Linked DNA regions of Saccharomyces cerevisiae S288C. The protein of the gene in region 1 interacts with the protein of each later gene in a biochemical or structural test. Each region holds a gene or a part of one and is shown on either strand. Other genes may lie near its edges.

Region 1 (2,331 bases):
ACACTATTTTAGAGACATCGGATATAGACACTCCACAATACAGCATTGTCCACATAATGCCATGGGGAATGAGGAATTCTCCTACTTAGCCAGTGACTCAAAATTCAAACGTAAAAACGCGGCCTACGACGAGGGAAGGGAATTTGGGTGTGGCTGCAGGTGCAGATGTCCCAAGAAAAAGCGTGAAATTGAGGATTCCATGGGTTTCTGCGTAAATATTTGGGTAAATCTGCTTAACCAACAGAGGGGACACGAACGCCACGTCGAAGCACTCAACGGCAATGAAATGGAGGAGCACATAAGGGAAGACTATCTAAGACAGTTCGGAAACTAGTTTCTTTTATTGAGACTTATTTTTAATATATATAGTACATGAAATAATAAAAAACCGAAAAATGCATACATAAGGTTCTATTATATTCCCAATAGAATGATCGTTATTTTATTTTTTGAAAGGCATGAAAATAATTTCAAACACCGATTGTTTAACCACCGATTGTTTAACCACCGAAACCATATAAGGTTCTACCTTGTCTCTTCAAAGCATAAACAACATCCAAAGAAGTAACAGTCTTTCTCTTGGCGTGTTCAGTGTAAGTAACAGAGTCCCTGATGACGGATTCCAAGAAGGATTTCAAGACGGCTCTGACTTCTTCGTAGATCAAACCAGAAATACGCTTGACACCACCTCTTCTAGCTAATCTTCTGATAGCTGGCTTAGTGATACCTTGAATGTTATCTCTTAGAATCTTTCTGTGACGCTTGGCACCACCTTTTCCTAGACCTTTACCACCTTTACCTCTACCGGACATTATTTTATTGTATTGATTGTTGTTTTTGCTACTCTTTTGAACAAGATGTAGGAAAAAAGATAGAGAAAAGAATAAATTAAGCGAAAAAAAAAAAATCTCTTTCACCGCCTCATCCTAATATACTTATATATGATATAACTACATACGCACAAACACGTATGTATCTAGCCGAATAACAACAGCCCAGGCGCGAGTGAACAACATATTAAATTAAACGCCTTCTTGTCAGTTGTTTTGTTCTGGTCTGGTCTGCATTTCGCGCCCGAAAAAGCTTGAGACGCGAAGCTCCCAGAACGTCCTGCCATACAAATGCGAAACTCTCGGTCTAGTACCACTTTCCCGGTGCCAAACGACCACAGTTGTCCGTTCCGAGCACTTCGCATTAAGCGCGTGAAACTATTGGCACGCCCTAAGGGGCTCCTACGGATGGGAGTTGGTCATTTAGCGTTCATTATCGCCCAATGTGACGCACAATCACGGCTATGGCTCGGTGTCAAAACATAGTTTGCGTGATAACAGCGTGTTGTGCTCTCTCGCGTTGCTTCTTGTGACCGCAGTTGTATATAAATAATCTTTTTCTTGTTCTTTTATATAGGACCACTGTTTTGTGACTTCCACTTTGGCCCTTCCAACTGTTCTTCCCCTTTTACTAAAGGATCCAAGCAAACACTCCACAATGGCCAGAACTAAACAAACAGCTAGAAAATCCACTGGTGGTAAAGCCCCAAGAAAACAATTAGCCTCCAAGGCTGCCAGAAAATCCGCCCCATCTACCGGTGGTGTTAAGAAGCCTCACAGATATAAGCCAGGTACTGTTGCCTTGAGAGAAATTAGAAGATTCCAAAAATCTACTGAACTGTTGATCAGAAAGTTACCTTTCCAAAGATTGGTCAGAGAAATCGCTCAAGATTTCAAGACCGACTTGAGATTTCAATCTTCTGCTATCGGTGCTTTGCAAGAATCCGTCGAAGCATACTTAGTCTCTTTGTTTGAAGACACTAATCTGGCTGCTATTCACGCTAAGCGTGTTACTATCCAAAAGAAGGATATCAAATTGGCCAGAAGACTAAGAGGTGAAAGATCATGAATATAAAGCGGGAATTTTTTTTTTTCTATGCATTTAGACTGGGGGGACATCATACAAACATCTCCTTTTTTAATACATTATTCATCTATCTATTCGCAATGCTTTTAACGACATGAGGAGGGTATATATGCTGTAATTTATCGTTTACAGACATAATTGCGGGGCTAATTTTTAGATGCTTAGATAGTATACGTAATTTTATAACCGGCAAGAAACCATGTATAATAATTATCAATAAACATCATTTTCGAAGAGACTAGTTACGTAAAGGTAATCACTGTCTACATATTACCATTGTAGAGGCAACCAGTTGTTTTTACTAGCAATCCTCTTAATTTCGTCATCGTCATACATCTCGATGAACTGCTGATCAAGCGCCCTGGCCTTCGGAAATGCGAAACGTCTGTACTCATCAAAAATCATCGTTAGCGA
Region 2 (4,926 bases), on another chromosome or scaffold:
GTCAATTTAAAACCAACTTTTACGCTTTCAAAAAATAAGAGAGTTAACGAAAAAAATTACAAGATTAGATTGTGGCCAACTAAGTATTCCATTAATCTCAAAAGCAACTCTACTATTGACTATCGCAACCAGGAATGTACAGGGCCAACGTACTTATTTGGTTACCATCCACACGGCATAGGAGCACTTGGTGCGTTTGGAGCGTTTGCAACAGAAGGTTGTAACTATTCCAAGATTTTCCCAGGTATTCCTATTTCTCTGATGACACTGGTCACACAATTTCATATCCCATTGTATAGAGACTACTTATTGGCGTTAGGTATTTCTTCAGTATCTCGGAAAAACGCTTTAAGGACTCTAAGCAAAAATCAGTCGATCTGCATTGTTGTTGGTGGCGCTAGGGAATCTTTATTAAGTTCAACAAATGGTACACAACTGATTTTAAACAAAAGAAAGGGTTTTATTAAACTGGCCATTCAAACGGGGAATATTAACCTAGTGCCTGTGTTTGCATTTGGAGAGGTGGACTGTTATAATGTTCTGAGCACAAAAAAAGATTCAGTCCTGGGTAAAATGCAACTATGGTTCAAAGAAAACTTTGGTTTTACCATTCCCATTTTCTACGCAAGAGGATTATTCAATTACGATTTCGGTTTGTTGCCATTTAGAGCGCCTATCAATGTTGTTGTTGGAAGGCCTATATACGTTGAAAAGAAAATAACAAATCCGCCAGATGATGTTGTTAATCATTTCCATGATTTGTATATTGCGGAGTTGAAAAGACTATATTACGAAAATAGAGAAAAATATGGGGTACCGGATGCAGAATTGAAGATAGTTGGGTAATAATGAATTCATTGGAAAACACAAAATATGTTAGAATAAATAAGGATTTTTTAGTGTTTGGGCTGTATATCTTAAGTAAGAGTATTAACTTACAGGAATACTGGAGTTCTCGTTGAATATTAGTGATTGTTTTACGTAAATTTCATTTATTTAAAGCTTTTACATTAGAAGTTGTTTGAATGTAAGTTTAGGAAAGCACTACATAGCTTACCAGGCAAAGCGTAACTGAGAGGCAGTAAATACCGGTGGTTTCCATATGAGTCTATTAGGGTCTATTGTCCTTCTCTTTTTGGCTTTAAGTCGATTGTACCTATCTAAAATATCTTCATTCAGGAAAATAATATGCTGACCCTTGTAATATCGCAGGATATTCAGTGTCTTTGCTGTGTGTAATATATCTGTAGTGGTCATCGAAGTCATGGAGCTTATTTCGTCTATAGTAATTTCCTTCTGGTGTTCCACTAATAGCGTTATGAGAGTGTCCGACCAATAGGCTCTATAGGATAAGAGACCCAAATCAGACAAAGGTTTCTCGGGAGAACCAACTTTGTTTTCCTTTTTCGACAATTCATACGAAAATTCAATCAATAACTTACCATATCCCATCCTTTGGTATTGTGGTAGTGTTAAGATACATGCAACATTGTAACCATCCGCGGATTCTTTTTCCTTGGAAAAATATCCCACCAGATGGTGACCCAACTCATCTCGTCTCGTCATGCAATAAAACAAAAACGGATCAACGTCATAGTATAATGTTTTGTGATCTAGGAAAAGTTTGGAAAGTAAACACAAGTTTCGACACCAAGTCCTTTGCTTTCTACCATCGATTTCAAAGAATGAAACATAATCGTCTCTGTAGATTTCATTTCCTGGCGGATGTCTTAATGTACATTTCTTCCTGTAGCGTTCGTATTGTTTCTTAGATCCAAAATACTGCAACGTGAAATCGTCGATATATATAAAATCTTCATCAGTTAATTCAATAGGATATGGAGAAAAGTACCATGGTTCTATTTCATATTTCCCCATAATGATTCGATTGAGATTTCTAACTCGAGCCACCTCATGTGGATTTTGTGTCATAGAGCCGGAGGTTCTAAGCTTTTTTATCTCATCCTCGTGTGATATGTTCTCATCTTTTATTCCCTGTACATTTAGATTATCTAAGTCCATAACATCCGTATTTTCTCTTGAGAAACCATCTACACCATCTTGCAGAGAGTCTTGTGGCGTTTCACTAGTATTTGTTGCCTTCTTCTTTTTTTGTTTCTTATTATCTTCATCAGTAGCCTTTAGTTTCGGATATAGTACTTCTTTATCCAGGTTTATTCTGTCAGTGGTAATCCACTCATCTAAACGCTTGTTGTAATTAACATAGTGAACATAGAATTTTGGTGGTGCTTTTCTTGTGTTTATGGATAAAATTTCAGCTAATCGTTCTTCATCATTTTTTTGGACCCAGCATTGACATTTGATAATAATATCATCTACTGAGTTTATCTTTTTGGCAATACCAGGTTCTTCTTTTCCGTCATGGGACATCGATGATTTCTTGCAGTATTTCCGAGAATGGTAGCACAGGAAGCGTCTAAAGAATGGTAAAGCTCTTTTCTATTCTCCTTTGATTACTATAATAATATACACCTTTTAGCAATATTCGTTTTGCATTTGCTCCGCCGGAAGCCGTTTTCATCTTTTCAACGGGCGGGTAGTAATTTGGAAAATTTTCCATCATTATAATAATGATGAAATAGTCAATAGGTACAGCTCATCGATTAATTATAATCACGTTGTTCCTTCCCAAGGAAAAAAGCAATATCTGTTGCATGCCATGTCTGACTCCTCAGAAGCCACTGTAAAGAGACCCCTTGATGCTCACGTAGGACCTTCCGAAAATGCTGCAAAGAAGTTGAAAATTGAGCAACGTACTCAGGCAGATGGTATTCACGAAGCAGATGTCGGTATTACTTTGTTCTTATCTCCAGAATTGCCAGGATTTAGAGGCCAAATTAAGCAGCGTTATACTGACTTTTTGGTCAACGAAATAGATCAAGAAGGTAAGGTCATTCACTTAACTGATAAAGGATTTAAAATGCCAAAGAAACCACAACGCTCTAAAGAAGAGGTCAATGCAGAAAAGGAGTCTGAAGCAGCTAGAAGACAAGAATTCAACGTCGACCCCGAATTAAGAAATCAATTGGTGGAGATATTTGGTGAGGAAGATGTATTGAAAATAGAATCCGTTTATCGCACGGCTAATAAAATGGAAACGGCAAAAAATTTCGAAGATAAATCTGTTAGAACTAAAATTCACCAACTGTTACGTGAGGCATTTAAAAATGAATTAGAATCTGTGACTACTGATACTAACACTTTTAAGATTGCAAGATCAAATAGAAATTCAAGAACCAATAAACAAGAGAAAATTAACCAAACCAGGGACGCTAACGGTGTAGAAAATTGGGGATATGGTCCCAGTAAAGATTTTATTCACTTCACTCTACATAAAGAAAATAAGGATACTATGGAAGCTGTCAATGTTATAACAAAGTTGTTAAGAGTTCCAAGCCGTGTAATTAGATATGCAGGTACTAAGGATCGTAGAGCAGTAACGTGCCAAAGGGTTTCGATTTCAAAGATTGGTTTGGATAGACTAAATGCTTTAAATAGGACTTTAAAAGGAATGATTATCGGAAATTACAATTTTTCGGATGCAAGTTTGAATCTGGGAGACTTGAAGGGAAATGAGTTCGTTGTTGTTATTAGAGATGTTACCACCGGCAATAGTGAGGTATCACTGGAAGAAATTGTGTCTAACGGCTGTAAGTCTTTATCAGAAAATGGGTTTATCAATTATTTTGGTATGCAGAGATTCGGTACATTCAGTATTTCTACGCACACAATTGGTAGAGAATTGCTCCTTTCAAACTGGAAGAAGGCTGCTGAGTTGATTTTATCTGACCAGGATAACGTGCTTCCTAAATCTAAGGAAGCTAGGAAGATTTGGGCAGAAACTAAGGACGCGGCTTTAGCATTGAAGCAGATGCCAAGACAGTGTCTCGCAGAAAATGCGTTACTATATTCTTTATCTAATCAAAGAAAAGAAGAAGATGGAACTTATTCTGAGAACGCTTATTATACTGCTATTATGAAAATTCCCAGAAATTTGAGAACTATGTATGTACATGCCTACCAAAGTTACGTCTGGAATTCTATTGCTAGTAAGCGGATAGAACTACATGGTTTGAAGTTAGTTGTAGGTGACCTTGTCATTGATACTAGTGAAAAGTCACCACTAATTTCTGGGATTGACGATGAAGACTTTGATGAAGATGTCCGTGAAGCTCAGTTCATTCGTGCAAAAGCAGTAACTCAAGAGGATATCGACTCAGTTAAGTATACCATGGAAGATGTCGTGTTACCATCGCCGGGTTTTGATGTGCTTTATCCTTCCAACGAAGAATTGAAGCAACTGTATGTGGATATATTGAAAGCAGATAATATGGACCCATTTAATATGAGAAGAAAAGTTCGCGATTTTTCATTGGCTGGCTCTTATAGAACTGTTATTCAAAAGCCAAAGAGTTTAGAGTATAGAATAATTCACTATGATGATCCTTCTCAACAATTGGTGAACACTGATTTGGACATCCTGAATAACACCAGAGCAAAAGAAAGCGGCCAGAAGTATATGAAAGCCAAGTTGGACAGATATATGCCAGATAAAGGCGGTGAGAAGACTGCGGTGGTGTTAAAATTTCAATTAGGAACCTCCGCATATGCCACCATGGCATTACGTGAACTCATGAAGCTTGAGACTTCTCGCCGTGGCGACATGTGTGATGTTAAGGAGAATATCTAAGGTTATACGAGGTGCAATATTCATGTATATTAGTTTACTTTTTTTGTCGGAAGCTCTTTCCCTCATACACTATTGTTGTGTCCGTGTCGTGTCACTTCAGGCGTCGGTAAATATGTATCTGCGCATCGCACACAAAGATAAAGCCTTTTTAAATATAAACAACACCTTCTAGATATATCTTATCAAAGGATACAACCACGTTTCTCAACAAGAAG
Region 3 (6,544 bases), on another chromosome or scaffold:
TCCACGTTTCAGCATTGAGAATGGAGTCACCACATCTTTCCACGTCTATTTGAAAAGCGGATTCACACCAAAGACGTTGTTGCTGTTATTAAATTTGCATTATTAGTAAAAGAACGTAGTAAAATTGAGATGGCACAGGATGCCTAGTTTCGACCTATACTTACTTTTGCTAGCCTTTCCATTTTTTCATATATTTCGTCCATGTCTTTTGTATATTGCTCAATAATGTTTACAGGAACAGTACAAAACAAATCCCAATCCATCTTTTCCTGTTGTTGTTTGGACATCATCCCATCTTGACTGGAGAGGTCTTTGTACGATTCCCGGATCAAATGAGTGATTTCATTAATTTTCTTGAGTACATCATTTTCCAGGATATGGTTTTGGAAGGTTTCCTGTGGATTGTTGATTTGCCATTCGGCGGCTAATTTGAAAAGACTTGGTATATTGTTGGTCACGTCCGGACTTTTTAATGAGTTGGTTCTTTCCAAGTTATTATCCTGGTCGTTCTCAGATGATTGCCTAGGGACTTCCGTAGTATCACTCATGGTTATAGTTCCGCTTTTCTCTTCTTCGTTGCTTAATGATGTTTAGTTCTGAAATAACGATTTTTTAAGCGCTTGGCAATTTCACAAGAAAAAGGTGAAAAAAGAAAAATAAGATTAAACGATGAATGCGATTTTTTGTTTCTGTTATTATTATTATATAATTAAAAACTAGACAAATATAGTATGCATATGCATTTTGAATGATGGGTGAAAGAATTCAAAACTGTAATGCTGACGAAGGCTTGATAACCCTTTGCATACTTTCTTCACTGTCGTTGCTTGACCGGAATCTTATGTCCTGCAATTCGAATTCCTCTCTAGTAGCAAATGGTTCGTGTTTGCCGCCATTGCTTATATTTGCGGTGGGATTTCCATGGTCTAAACTGGTGTTAGCATCATTTTCACTATTTAAGTCAACATCAGATGTTTTTCTTATTGTTGCCATAGTATCACTGTTTCTCATCAGTTCAGCCTCGCCCGAAGTAGACTGTCGTTGCGGATAACGTTGACTGTAAGAAGTTTCATCGTCTAGATCTGCATCAGTAAATACACCGGCTTGGTAGCCTAAGAATTTATCATCGATTCCACCTCCATAGGACGTGCCATTATCGGAAATACACCATTCTAAGCCAGACCAAGCTAAGCATGACACAGAAATCAAACCTGCAAAACACCACAGAAGCGCAAACCATGTAACTCCAAGATGGTAAGAAAACCCGAAGGCCTCTAATTCTGTATTAATTCTAGACTGAATAGTGTAGTTAACCCAGGCAAGGCTTATGCTACTTATCAGGCCCCCAATGAAAACAACTAGCGATAGTAGAGAGTTGATATGAACAAGTGCCCTTTCTTTGAGGGCGTTCATAAACCTTCCCTTTATGTAGTAGTACCATATCATGAAAAATAACATACACACCTGGAAACTAATAACTGCATAGAGTAAATGTAACACGTTGGCCTTTTTATGTTTTAAACTCCTCATGTAGGTCGTGTATGCAGAACTTTCTGCCTGTTGTGAACCGATTTTGTTGTATGCATAATCTAAAATGATATCTAAACCCAAGCTTTCTAAAACCTCACGATAATCAAAAAGATAGTCCGTTCCTATGCTACTGCAGGTACTCTTAGTAGTCGAATTCTTTACGCTATGCATATTTCCTTCAGAGTCGAATACTTCCACCATGGTATATGTTGAATCGCACCTCCCATAAAGCGACACTGTGATGTACTGAGGAACATTCTTTATCTGACTTTCGGTGTAAGCAGTCAATATATACAGTTCGGATGTTGTTAAGCCTACACCGTTATTTTCTTCTGTAGATGTCGACTGCTCCATAGACTCTCTCAACACGGTAAATAAACCCGTCGTAATATCAGCAGAGTAAGTATCCAGTCGTGACATGTACAATGTTCTTGGCGAAGAAAGGGGTCCGACAGTCAACGCCAACCCGAAAGAGATTATGAGTAATGTCGTCCCTAATCTTAGCCACTGTACCACTTTCTCAAGGGCTGTAAGGTTCTGGAATGGCCTGGCTATTGTATCTCGTATTCTTGACATCACCATTTATTTTCGATCCATTAGATATGCAAGGGTATTCGCAATGACTGATACACAAAGAAATGGTGTAAATGAAACTAAGTAGAGAGTTGACAGTGTTAAGCAAACAACGAATCCAGGGGAACAAAGTATTCGGGACGTTTGTTTATGCGGCGTCCAAAAGATGTATTTAAAGTTAACCATATTATGTATCAATCTAAATAAAGAAATAATTGTAAATTTTCATCGCATCAGTAATATGACCGCGAAAACGCTATTCTTTCCAAAAAAGTTAAAATGAACATAGTATGAAAAAGAAAAACACATAAGCAGCCCTTTCATCACCTTCCTTACAGGGGTTTAAGAAAGTTGTTTTGTTCTAACAATTGGATTAGCTAAAATGGCTAAAACATTGAAAGATTTGGACGGTTGGCAAGTTATCATTACAGATGATCAGGGGAGGGTTATTGACGACAACAATAGAAGAAGATCAAGAAAAAGAGGAGGAGAAAACGTATTTCTGAAAAGAATTTCTGATGGATTGAGTTTTGGGAAGGGTGAGAGCGTGATATTTAATGATAATGTGACGGAAACATATTCTGTCTACTTGATCCATGAGATCAGACTCAATACACTTAATAATGTTGTGGAGATTTGGGTTTTTTCTTACTTGAGATGGTTTGAACTCAAACCAAAACTGTACTACGAACAATTCAGGCCAGATCTAATAAAGGAAGATCATCCTTTAGAATTTTACAAAGATAAATTTTTCAACGAAGTAAATAAGAGCGAGTTATATTTAACTGCTGAGCTATCAGAGATTTGGCTTAAGGATTTCATTGCAGTTGGACAGATACTGCCAGAGTCACAATGGAATGATAGTAGTATCGATAAAATAGAGGATAGAGATTTTCTAGTACGTTATGCATGCGAACCTACTGCGGAAAAGTTTGTACCAATTGATATTTTTCAAATCATAAGAAGAGTAAAGGAAATGGAACCCAAACAATCTGATGAATACTTGAAAAGAGTATCTGTACCAGTGAGTGGGCAGAAGACAAATAGACAGGTGATGCATAAGATGGGAGTTGAAAGATCTTCAAAAAGACTAGCAAAGAAACCTTCAATGAAAAAAATTAAAATCGAGCCCTCTGCAGATGATGACGTAAATAATGGAAATATACCGTCTCAGCGAGGAACGTCAACAACTCATGGTTCAATTTCTCCCCAAGAAGAGTCTGTTTCCCCTAACATCTCATCGGCGTCCCCTTCTGCGCTCACATCACCTACAGATTCTTCGAAAATTTTACAAAAAAGATCTATATCAAAGGAACTAATTGTTTCAGAGGAAATACCAATAAACTCTTCAGAACAGGAATCCGATTATGAGCCAAACAATGAAACATCTGTGCTTTCAAGTAAACCTGGGTCAAAGCCAGAGAAGACATCTACAGAACTCGTTGACGGCCGAGAGAATTTTGTATATGCAAATAATCCAGAAGTGAGTGATGATGGTGGGCTTGAAGAGGAAACAGATGAAGTTAGTTCAGAAAGTTCTGATGAAGCAATAATACCAGTAAATAAAAGACGTGGCGCTCACGGAAGCGAATTGAGCAGTAAAATTAGAAAAATCCACATTCAAGAAACACAAGAATTTTCTAAAAATTACACTACAGAAACAGATAACGAAATGAACGGAAATGGAAAACCTGGAATTCCCAGGGGCAACACCAAAATTCATAGTATGAACGAAAATCCTACACCAGAAAAAGGTAATGCAAAGATGATTGATTTCGCTACTTTGTCAAAGTTGAAAAAAAAATATCAGATAATTTTAGACCGGTTTGCACCAGATAATCAAGTAACAGATTCCTCCCAATTGAACAAATTAACAGACGAACAGTCAAGCTTGGACGTTGCAGGCCTTGAGGATAAGTTTAGAAAAGCATGCTCTTCATCTGGAAGAGAAACCATTCTGTCAAATTTTAACGCTGATATAAATTTAGAGGAATCAATTAGAGAATCTTTACAAAAGAGAGAACTACTAAAATCACAAGTGGAGGATTTTACAAGAATATTCCTTCCGATTTACGACAGTTTGATGTCTTCCCAAAATAAACTATTTTATATTACCAATGCAGATGATTCTACTAAATTCCAGCTTGTGAATGATGTAATGGATGAGTTGATCACCTCTTCGGCCCGAAAGGAACTACCTATTTTCGATTACATTCATATTGATGCCTTGGAACTGGCAGGAATGGATGCATTATATGAGAAAATATGGTTCGCCATTTCTAAAGAAAATCTATGCGGTGATATATCACTAGAGGCCTTAAACTTCTATATTACAAATGTCCCGAAAGCAAAAAAGAGAAAGACACTAATATTAATACAAAATCCGGAAAATCTATTGAGTGAGAAGATTTTACAATATTTCGAGAAATGGATTTCTTCGAAAAATTCAAAATTGTCTATCATTTGCGTTGGCGGACATAATGTGACGATTAGAGAGCAAATAAATATAATGCCCTCCCTCAAAGCACACTTTACCGAAATCAAACTTAATAAGGTGGACAAGAATGAATTGCAACAAATGATCATCACGCGACTCAAATCTTTATTGAAACCTTTTCATGTCAAAGTAAATGATAAGAAGGAAATGACTATTTACAATAATATTCGCGAAGGACAGAACCAGAAAATACCAGATAATGTGATAGTAATCAATCATAAGATCAACAACAAAATCACTCAACTTATTGCAAAGAACGTAGCCAACGTAAGTGGTAGTACTGAAAAAGCATTCAAAATATGTGAAGCTGCCGTAGAAATTTCTAAAAAAGACTTCGTACGGAAAGGTGGTCTACAAAAGGGTAAATTGGTAGTGTCACAGGAGATGGTACCACGCTATTTCTCAGAAGCTATTAACGGATTCAAGGATGAAACTATTTCAAAGAAGATTATAGGAATGTCTCTGTTGATGAGAACATTTTTATATACCCTGGCGCAAGAAACCGAAGGCACGAATCGTCATACGCTTGCTCTGGAGACCGTCCTGATTAAGATGGTGAAGATGTTGCGGGACAACCCAGGGTACAAGGCGTCAAAAGAAATTAAGAAGGTCATATGCGGTGCCTGGGAGCCCGCAATAACTATAGAGAAACTAAAGCAATTTTCTTGGATAAGTGTAGTGAATGATTTAGTGGGAGAAAAATTAGTTGTTGTGGTGCTCGAGGAGCCCAGTGCAAGCATTATGGTAGAACTAAAACTTCCTTTAGAAATAAATTACGCCTTTTCGATGGATGAAGAATTCAAAAATATGGACTGCATTTGACCACCAACATTCATTTTCACTTCCGCCATAGATATGCCTATGTACACATGCAGTCTCTTCTGTATTCCTTAATAATGTAACCATAACTGTTTACTTACTAAAACCTAATCAAACTTCAGGACAGTTTTCTGTTGTGGACCCAGACCCACGGAAACGTTGAAACCCAAACATTAATATATTTTATTTTTTTTTTTTTTTCGGTTAATGAAAAACTAACTTTTTATTGTGCACTACGGATGCCTCGCGTCACCATCCGCTGGAAATTCCAGGACTCTCTCACCTGCGCGATAATATACCCAAAATGACTAGATGTCACAACTATTCTATTAAGAAAGGAAGGTGTTCACGTTGTGAACTTTAATATTAAGGAAACAAAACAAGCACACGAATAACCAATCGTTTAATCATGGCTGTCGGAAAGAATAAGAGACTATCCAAGGGTAAGAAAGGTCAAAAGAAGAGAGTCGTTGACCCATTTACCAGAAAGGAATGGTTCGACATTAAAGCTCCATCCACTTTTGAAAACAGAAATGTTGGTAAGACTTTAGTTAACAAGTCCACTGGTTTGAAGAGTGCTTCAGATGCTTTGAAAGGTAGAGTTGTCGAAGTTTGCTTGGCTGACTTACAGGGTTCTGAAGACCACTCTTTCAGAAAAATCAAATTAAGAGTTGACGAAGTCCAAGGTAAGAATTTATTGACCAACTTCCACGGTATGGACTTCACTACTGATAAATTGAGATCCATGGTTAGAAAGTGGCAAACTTTGATCGAAGCTAACGTTACTGTTAAGACTTCTGATGATTACGTTTTGAGAATCTTTGCTATCGCCTTCACCAGAAAGCAAGCTAACCAAGTTAAGAGACACTCTTACGCTCAATCTTCCCATATCAGAGCTATCAGAAAGGTTATTTCCGAAATCTTGACTAAGGAAGTTCAAGGATCTACCTTGGCCCAATTGACCTCCAAGTTGATTCCAGAAGTTATCAACAAGGAAATTGAAAACGCCACCAAGGACATTTTCCCACTACAAAACATCCATGTTAGAAAGGTTAAGTTGTTGAAACAACCAAAGTTCGATGTCGGTGCTTTGATGGCTTTGCACGGTGAAGGTTCTGGTGAAGA
Region 4 (4,919 bases), on another chromosome or scaffold:
GCCAACTTTAAGGATTCAGAATTAACAAGATCAACGTTAGCTGGAGAGACGGCCAAGATTAAACAATTTGGAGTGGCTATATAGTCTAGGATCAAATTCTTGATTTGCTTTTCAATATCAGGTGGTTGTTCCCCAATAGGAACCTTTGTAATCCCAGGCAAATCTACTAGCGTTAGATTCAAAACATGAGGGGAAAACACTTTCAAATTAATCGGAATCTTACTGATGCCCTTATCCTTACCGGCTATCCTCGCTGTTTCGTTTTCGATTTCTCTTTTGATATCGTCGAAATCATAAAACCGTTTTCCTGGTATATGCAGGAATTCCCCCCACTCATCTGCATGATTTCTTTCCTTGCCCCTATACTCCAAGGGCTTCGTACCAGCTTCGAATCCTGATATTTTTGTAACTTCATCATGTGGATTAACTGAGTTATCATCTTCCTCTATTAGAGGAGAATTTGGAGATATGTTATTAAGTTGAAGAACTAACGGTCTTCTTGTGACAATACCAGTACCCCTAGGTAAAAAATCTCTTCCAACTAACGTTTCCAATATCGAGGATTTCCCGGAGGATTGTGACCCAACAACAGCTAAAATGGGCAAATCGAGTGTATCGATCCCGGAGTCGTACATAACATCCTGCAGCTTGTTGACAGTAGGAATAAGATCTTCTAAACTAGCCATTCTTTATCCGTCGTATTTAGATTCGCTGGTAGCTACTTAATGATAAACTCTTTAGCAAATTGTGGCCAACCTGAGCAGTAGAGTAAAGGTAATATTTCATCCTACCCTCTTATTTATTGTTCCCACACTTTGTTTTGCCCGACCTTACAGGCGTGCACCGCGTAGTAAAAGTTGAGGACCTATCATTACCTAGAAAGGTGGCGATCAAGGTACTAACAATAAATACAAACATGCATTTTCTAAGATCGATGCTACATACGTGTACTAAATAATAAATATCAATATGTATCAAGTTTTAGGCAAGGCTTTAGCTTTTTTACGCGGTTTTAGCATTGTTATCGCCAACGTGTTGATGTTGCTTGCAGGAACCGGCTGATTTCTCTCCCGATGCTCCCTCTTCCCTGTTAAAGATTGAAGATTTGTTGCCATTCTGAGCAATAGAAAATCACGAATATTGGTGAAAGCTTCTATTGCGCCTTCCTCTGTATCGTATTCCTCTCCAGTAATGTACTTCTTGATTGCCCTAAACTGCTTCCTTGACTTCGGTACAATAACATCGGCACTAGATGGAAATAAAGATGGAGTGGCAAGAGAGTATCCCGAAATACCCATTACAGATGATGTGACACTTAATTTGAACTCTTGACGCTCTTGTAGTTCAATCCAGAAGGATGATAAGCTTACTTTGAGGAGGCGATCTTCCTCTGCCAATTGGTGTATAAATCTAGCCTTAGGATCGTCTGGGAATAATGGAATATTATATACCGCAAGAGAATTTTCTTTAGAGGTAAATATATCACCCACTTGCCATAGTGGATATTTCATCCCTCTTAGGTATGATCTTACTCGAGCAGGATCTTCGCCCGGTATCCTTAATTTTGCTTGTGTATCATTTTGAAAGCATTCAATTAGTAATCTATCCAAAATAAAGCCCCACCATTTCATTAGTTCCTCGCCATTTAGTATATGCTTTTTGCTGTTTTTTGAAGAATCTGGGAAGAGGTACTGGGATGCAGGTCTAGTAAATAAACAAATTTTGGTCAAAATCTCACGAGGACAGGTGAATGAGAGATAAAGATCTTGTTGAAAACGTGGAGATTCTATTTCTTTCAAAACGGTGCTGCCTGACTGTTTAAGCCTTCTAGCCAAAATCCTTAAAGTTCTTGCTGGCGTACTGGCTGCGCTAATCAGCTCGGGGGATATCTTCTTATATGATCTTATTGCCGGTTTTACTTTTTGAAGATAGTAATTCGGGTCGATTGATAATATAAATTCTAATATTATTTTTGTAATATCTCTAACGCTTACCCTCGTATTACAATAACCATTAGTGTCTGCCTTTGATACAAATATTAACCGTTCGGCATCTGCTTCATCCCAAAGCGTGACATACACATACACTTCTAATGAAAAAAAAACTTTTCCTTGGTGAAATAGACTAAAGAAGTGTTGAGTCTTGATCGTGCTTTTTGGGACCCTTTTGTCGTCCTTATTTGGGGTTACGACAGCATGGGTTTCTAACGGAATAGATTGCAACGATAAGTATTCAAATTGTTCACTGACAGGTAGCACGGAACTTAGGAAGTCATTCAGTGACATGTCTTATTGAAGACCGGTTGAATTGACCTTTTAACTCTACTGGACAACTCTATTGACAAACTGTAGTTTGTTAAGTAATGCGTTATGGCGTCCATTTTCCATTATAGCTTACAACGCGAACACGAAAAGTATAGTATGTTGTGATGTTTTCATAGACCTGGAGAATATTATTAGTAATTGTATGCATCTCAGAAGCAAGAAAGGTTACGACTACATATGCACACATACATACGTACATAATATATATATCTATTGACGTTTACGACTTAACGGGGATTTATCATGCTCTCTTATATAATCCATATCTTGATCGATTTTAGGAGAATTGGCGCTTAGGCTAAAAGGTACAGCGGGTATTCTGCCAAAATCAATATGGTCAACTTTGGATGGCATGTTTCTAGTGGTACGCCTAGGAGAATACCTTAGAGGTTTTCCTCGCGTCGGAGATCCGTTTAAGCCTGTCGTACTTTCAAGGTTGATCTGTTTTTTAGCTGTAGAATCAAGAACACTGGAAGATTTCACCGGACTTGGTATGGCTCTTCTTGCCCTGCTATAATGCGACTTCATCGCTTCCATTCTGTGCTGCTTTATTCTTTCTGAGCCTGGTATGGTTGAGGCGTTTTGAGAGTCTGATCTTATGGGAGTTTTTAGTTCATGTTTAAGATTGAAGTCCTTCCTTCTCTTTGGAGAACTGTCTGAACGATTTTTCCATAATAATAACAATCCCCTTACAGTGGCCCTGTCCCACCGATGACGAAACACCTCGACTGTCTCATCATTACGCTTAATTTTTAGGAATCGAAGACTCCACATTTTCAAGAATTTGGATGTAATTATGAATTGTTTATTAGCTTCCGATTGTTCCAATAATGTACTCATATAAAATATTTCGTCTAGATGAGTTTTCCAAATATAAAACGTCTTGACTAACACAAATTCTTCGCGAACTTCGTCTGCTAATTCTTCTGATTTTACTATCTCTAAAAGTCTTTCTCTAAATTTCTTCAGCACCATTTTTTCAAGCTGGTAGTTTCTCTTTGAAATAGCCTGAATGTTACATTCTTCTGTGTAGAAGCAAAATCTATTTCGCCAAGCGTTGAACAGTTGGCTTTGAAGTTCGCGCTCTTTACTCTTTTCATAAACGTGTAAAATATCGTTTAACTTATGCCTGACTTTGAACCTTGTGGCTTTCCGCCACTTTAAAAAGGCCTTAGAAAGCTTTACTCTATCCATAGAGGGCGCCAGTTTCGTATATAGCAAATGAACATTATCAATATGCATTAGCGTCCGTTTTACAGTCAAAATTGCATGTGTCTTACATAAGAAATTGTATCTATCCTCCAATTCCTTAGTTTTAATCAGGCGTTCTTTCCATATAGCTAGACACTCATTTACGAGACCCTCTTCGTAAAATTTGGATGCTTCGTCATTCATAGAATTCATTTGTAGCATCCTCCTTTTCCACACACCAAGATATTTTGCACAAAATGCCGTTTTAACATGTTCGCTCGATATTTTCCCATACTGTATTCTTTTCCTCCATGTACGATACGCGCTTGCTTGAATACTCTTTTTACATTTCTGCTCAAATATTTTTAACTTTACTTCAAGTTTCCAACTTCGCAATGATGACTTGAGCAAATTAGTCCTCGAATAATCGCTTGCTTTGAGGTCAATATATAGAAGTTTTTTCCATGAATGAAAAATACGCTTCACGAGGTTAGCCTCTTTTAGACTTACAATTGAATACAAATGCAGATGGTCTTCGAATCTTTTCAGCCACATCTTCTCAAAAACGCACCTCAAAAGTGTCTGATTTAGTTTACTCTTTGCAATTGCCTCTTGTTGACTATGTTGAAATGACCGGTTTAATTTGCGAAAAAACTTTTGTTTGATGAATTTATTCTCCAGTTCATAAAGTGCCCCAAGTTTATCTTCGTTTTCAATGTTTTTCTTTTCCCATTTATTCAGATATTTTCTTTGTAGAGAAAACGACCTCACTTTTTCTGCAATGCTCTTATTGTATTCATAGTTTATAACTTTCTGTTTTATTCTTTCGAAAATCCTTCTTTCCAACCCGTGGTAGTTTATTTCTTTATGTCTTAGCTTCCATATATGAAATGTTGTTCGTAAAAATATCTTCTTAATGTTGTCAGTGTTAACAGTTTCTAAGTGTTTCCAATGCTCTTGTGCCTTTAAAATTTTCCTAAACATCTTATTCAAAAAGGCCTGATCTGCTAACCTTGACTGCTCCTTAAGAGTTTGTGTTAAAGTTATCCATTGTTGGAACGAGCGAAATAGTAGCCAAGTATTCCTAAAACTTTCAGCTTCATCGTTGGCCATCTGTGAGTATTTTAATGTTTTATCACTCCAAATATAGAAGACGGCTTCCTGTACCCTCAGCTTTGCTTGATTTGCAAACCTGTTTGCCTCTTCATTCAATTCACATACAGTCTTCCAGTGATTAAAATGTCTTCTGATTTTGTTCTTAGCGTAGGTATATTCTGCAAGGGACAATGCAATGAATTTGTTGCGAGGGTGGATTAAAAATATTTCTAAAATCTCTTCTATAACAGAATTGAAAGTGAAAAAACCTTTCAGTTCATCTTCCAATATTGTGAAGTACTCATCGCG

The links.
Region 2: of the proteins of HHF2 (region 1) and ESA1, one has a biochemical effect on the other in vitro, tested with the Saccharomyces cerevisiae proteins (6 studies listed by BioGRID).
Region 3: the proteins of HHF2 (region 1) and SIR3 form a complex in vitro, tested with the Saccharomyces cerevisiae proteins (8 studies listed by BioGRID, with this or other methods).
Region 4: the proteins of HHF2 (region 1) and RTT109 form a complex in vitro, tested with the Saccharomyces cerevisiae proteins (2 studies listed by BioGRID, with this or other methods).

The regions. Positions count from the first base shown.
Region 1 is NC_001146.8:575,208-577,538, reverse strand, and holds HHF2 (histone H4), read right to left. Parts: upstream 813-2,331; coding exon 501-812; downstream 1-500. Other genes in the region: KTR5 (putative mannosyltransferase), read left to right, coding at 1-334; HHT2 (histone H3), read left to right, coding at 1,489-1,899; putative tyrosine protein phosphatase SIW14, read right to left, coding at 2,188-2,331. UniProt on the Saccharomyces cerevisiae protein: Core component of nucleosome. Nucleosomes wrap and compact DNA into chromatin, limiting DNA accessibility to the cellular machineries which require DNA as a template.
Region 2 is NC_001147.6:789,996-794,921, reverse strand, and holds ESA1 (NuA4 histone acetyltransferase complex catalytic subunit ESA1), read right to left. Parts: upstream 2,392-4,926; coding exon 1,054-2,391; downstream 1-1,053. Other genes in the region: DGA1 (diacylglycerol O-acyltransferase), read left to right, coding at 1-846; pseudouridine synthase PUS7, read left to right, coding at 2,681-4,711. UniProt on the Saccharomyces cerevisiae protein: Catalytic component of the NuA4 histone acetyltransferase (HAT), a multiprotein complex involved in epigenetic transcriptional activation of selected genes principally by acetylation of nucleosomal histones H4, H3, H2B, H2A and H2A variant H2A.Z.
Region 3 is NC_001144.5:1,018,193-1,024,736, reverse strand, and holds SIR3 (chromatin-silencing protein SIR3), read left to right. Parts: upstream 1-2,485; coding exon 2,486-5,422; downstream 5,423-6,544. Other genes in the region: GMC2 (Gmc2p), read right to left, coding at 1-82, 165-548; ECM7 (Ecm7p), read right to left, coding at 766-2,112; 40S ribosomal protein eS1 RPS1A, read left to right, coding at 5,829-6,544.
Region 4 is NC_001144.5:143,657-148,575, reverse strand, and holds RTT109 (H3 histone acetyltransferase RTT109), read right to left. Parts: upstream 2,286-4,919; coding exon 975-2,285; downstream 1-974. Other genes in the region: dynamin-related GTPase DNM1, read right to left, coding at 1-686; SFI1 (Sfi1p), read right to left, coding at 2,535-4,919. UniProt on the Saccharomyces cerevisiae protein: Histone chaperone-dependent acetylase that modifies 'Lys-9', 'Lys-14', 'Lys-23', 'Lys-27', and 'Lys-56' on histone H3 (H3K9Ac, H3K14Ac and H3K23Ac, H3K27Ac, and H3K56Ac) to promote nucleosome assembly, genomic stability, DNA repair and transcriptional regulation during mitotic S-phase.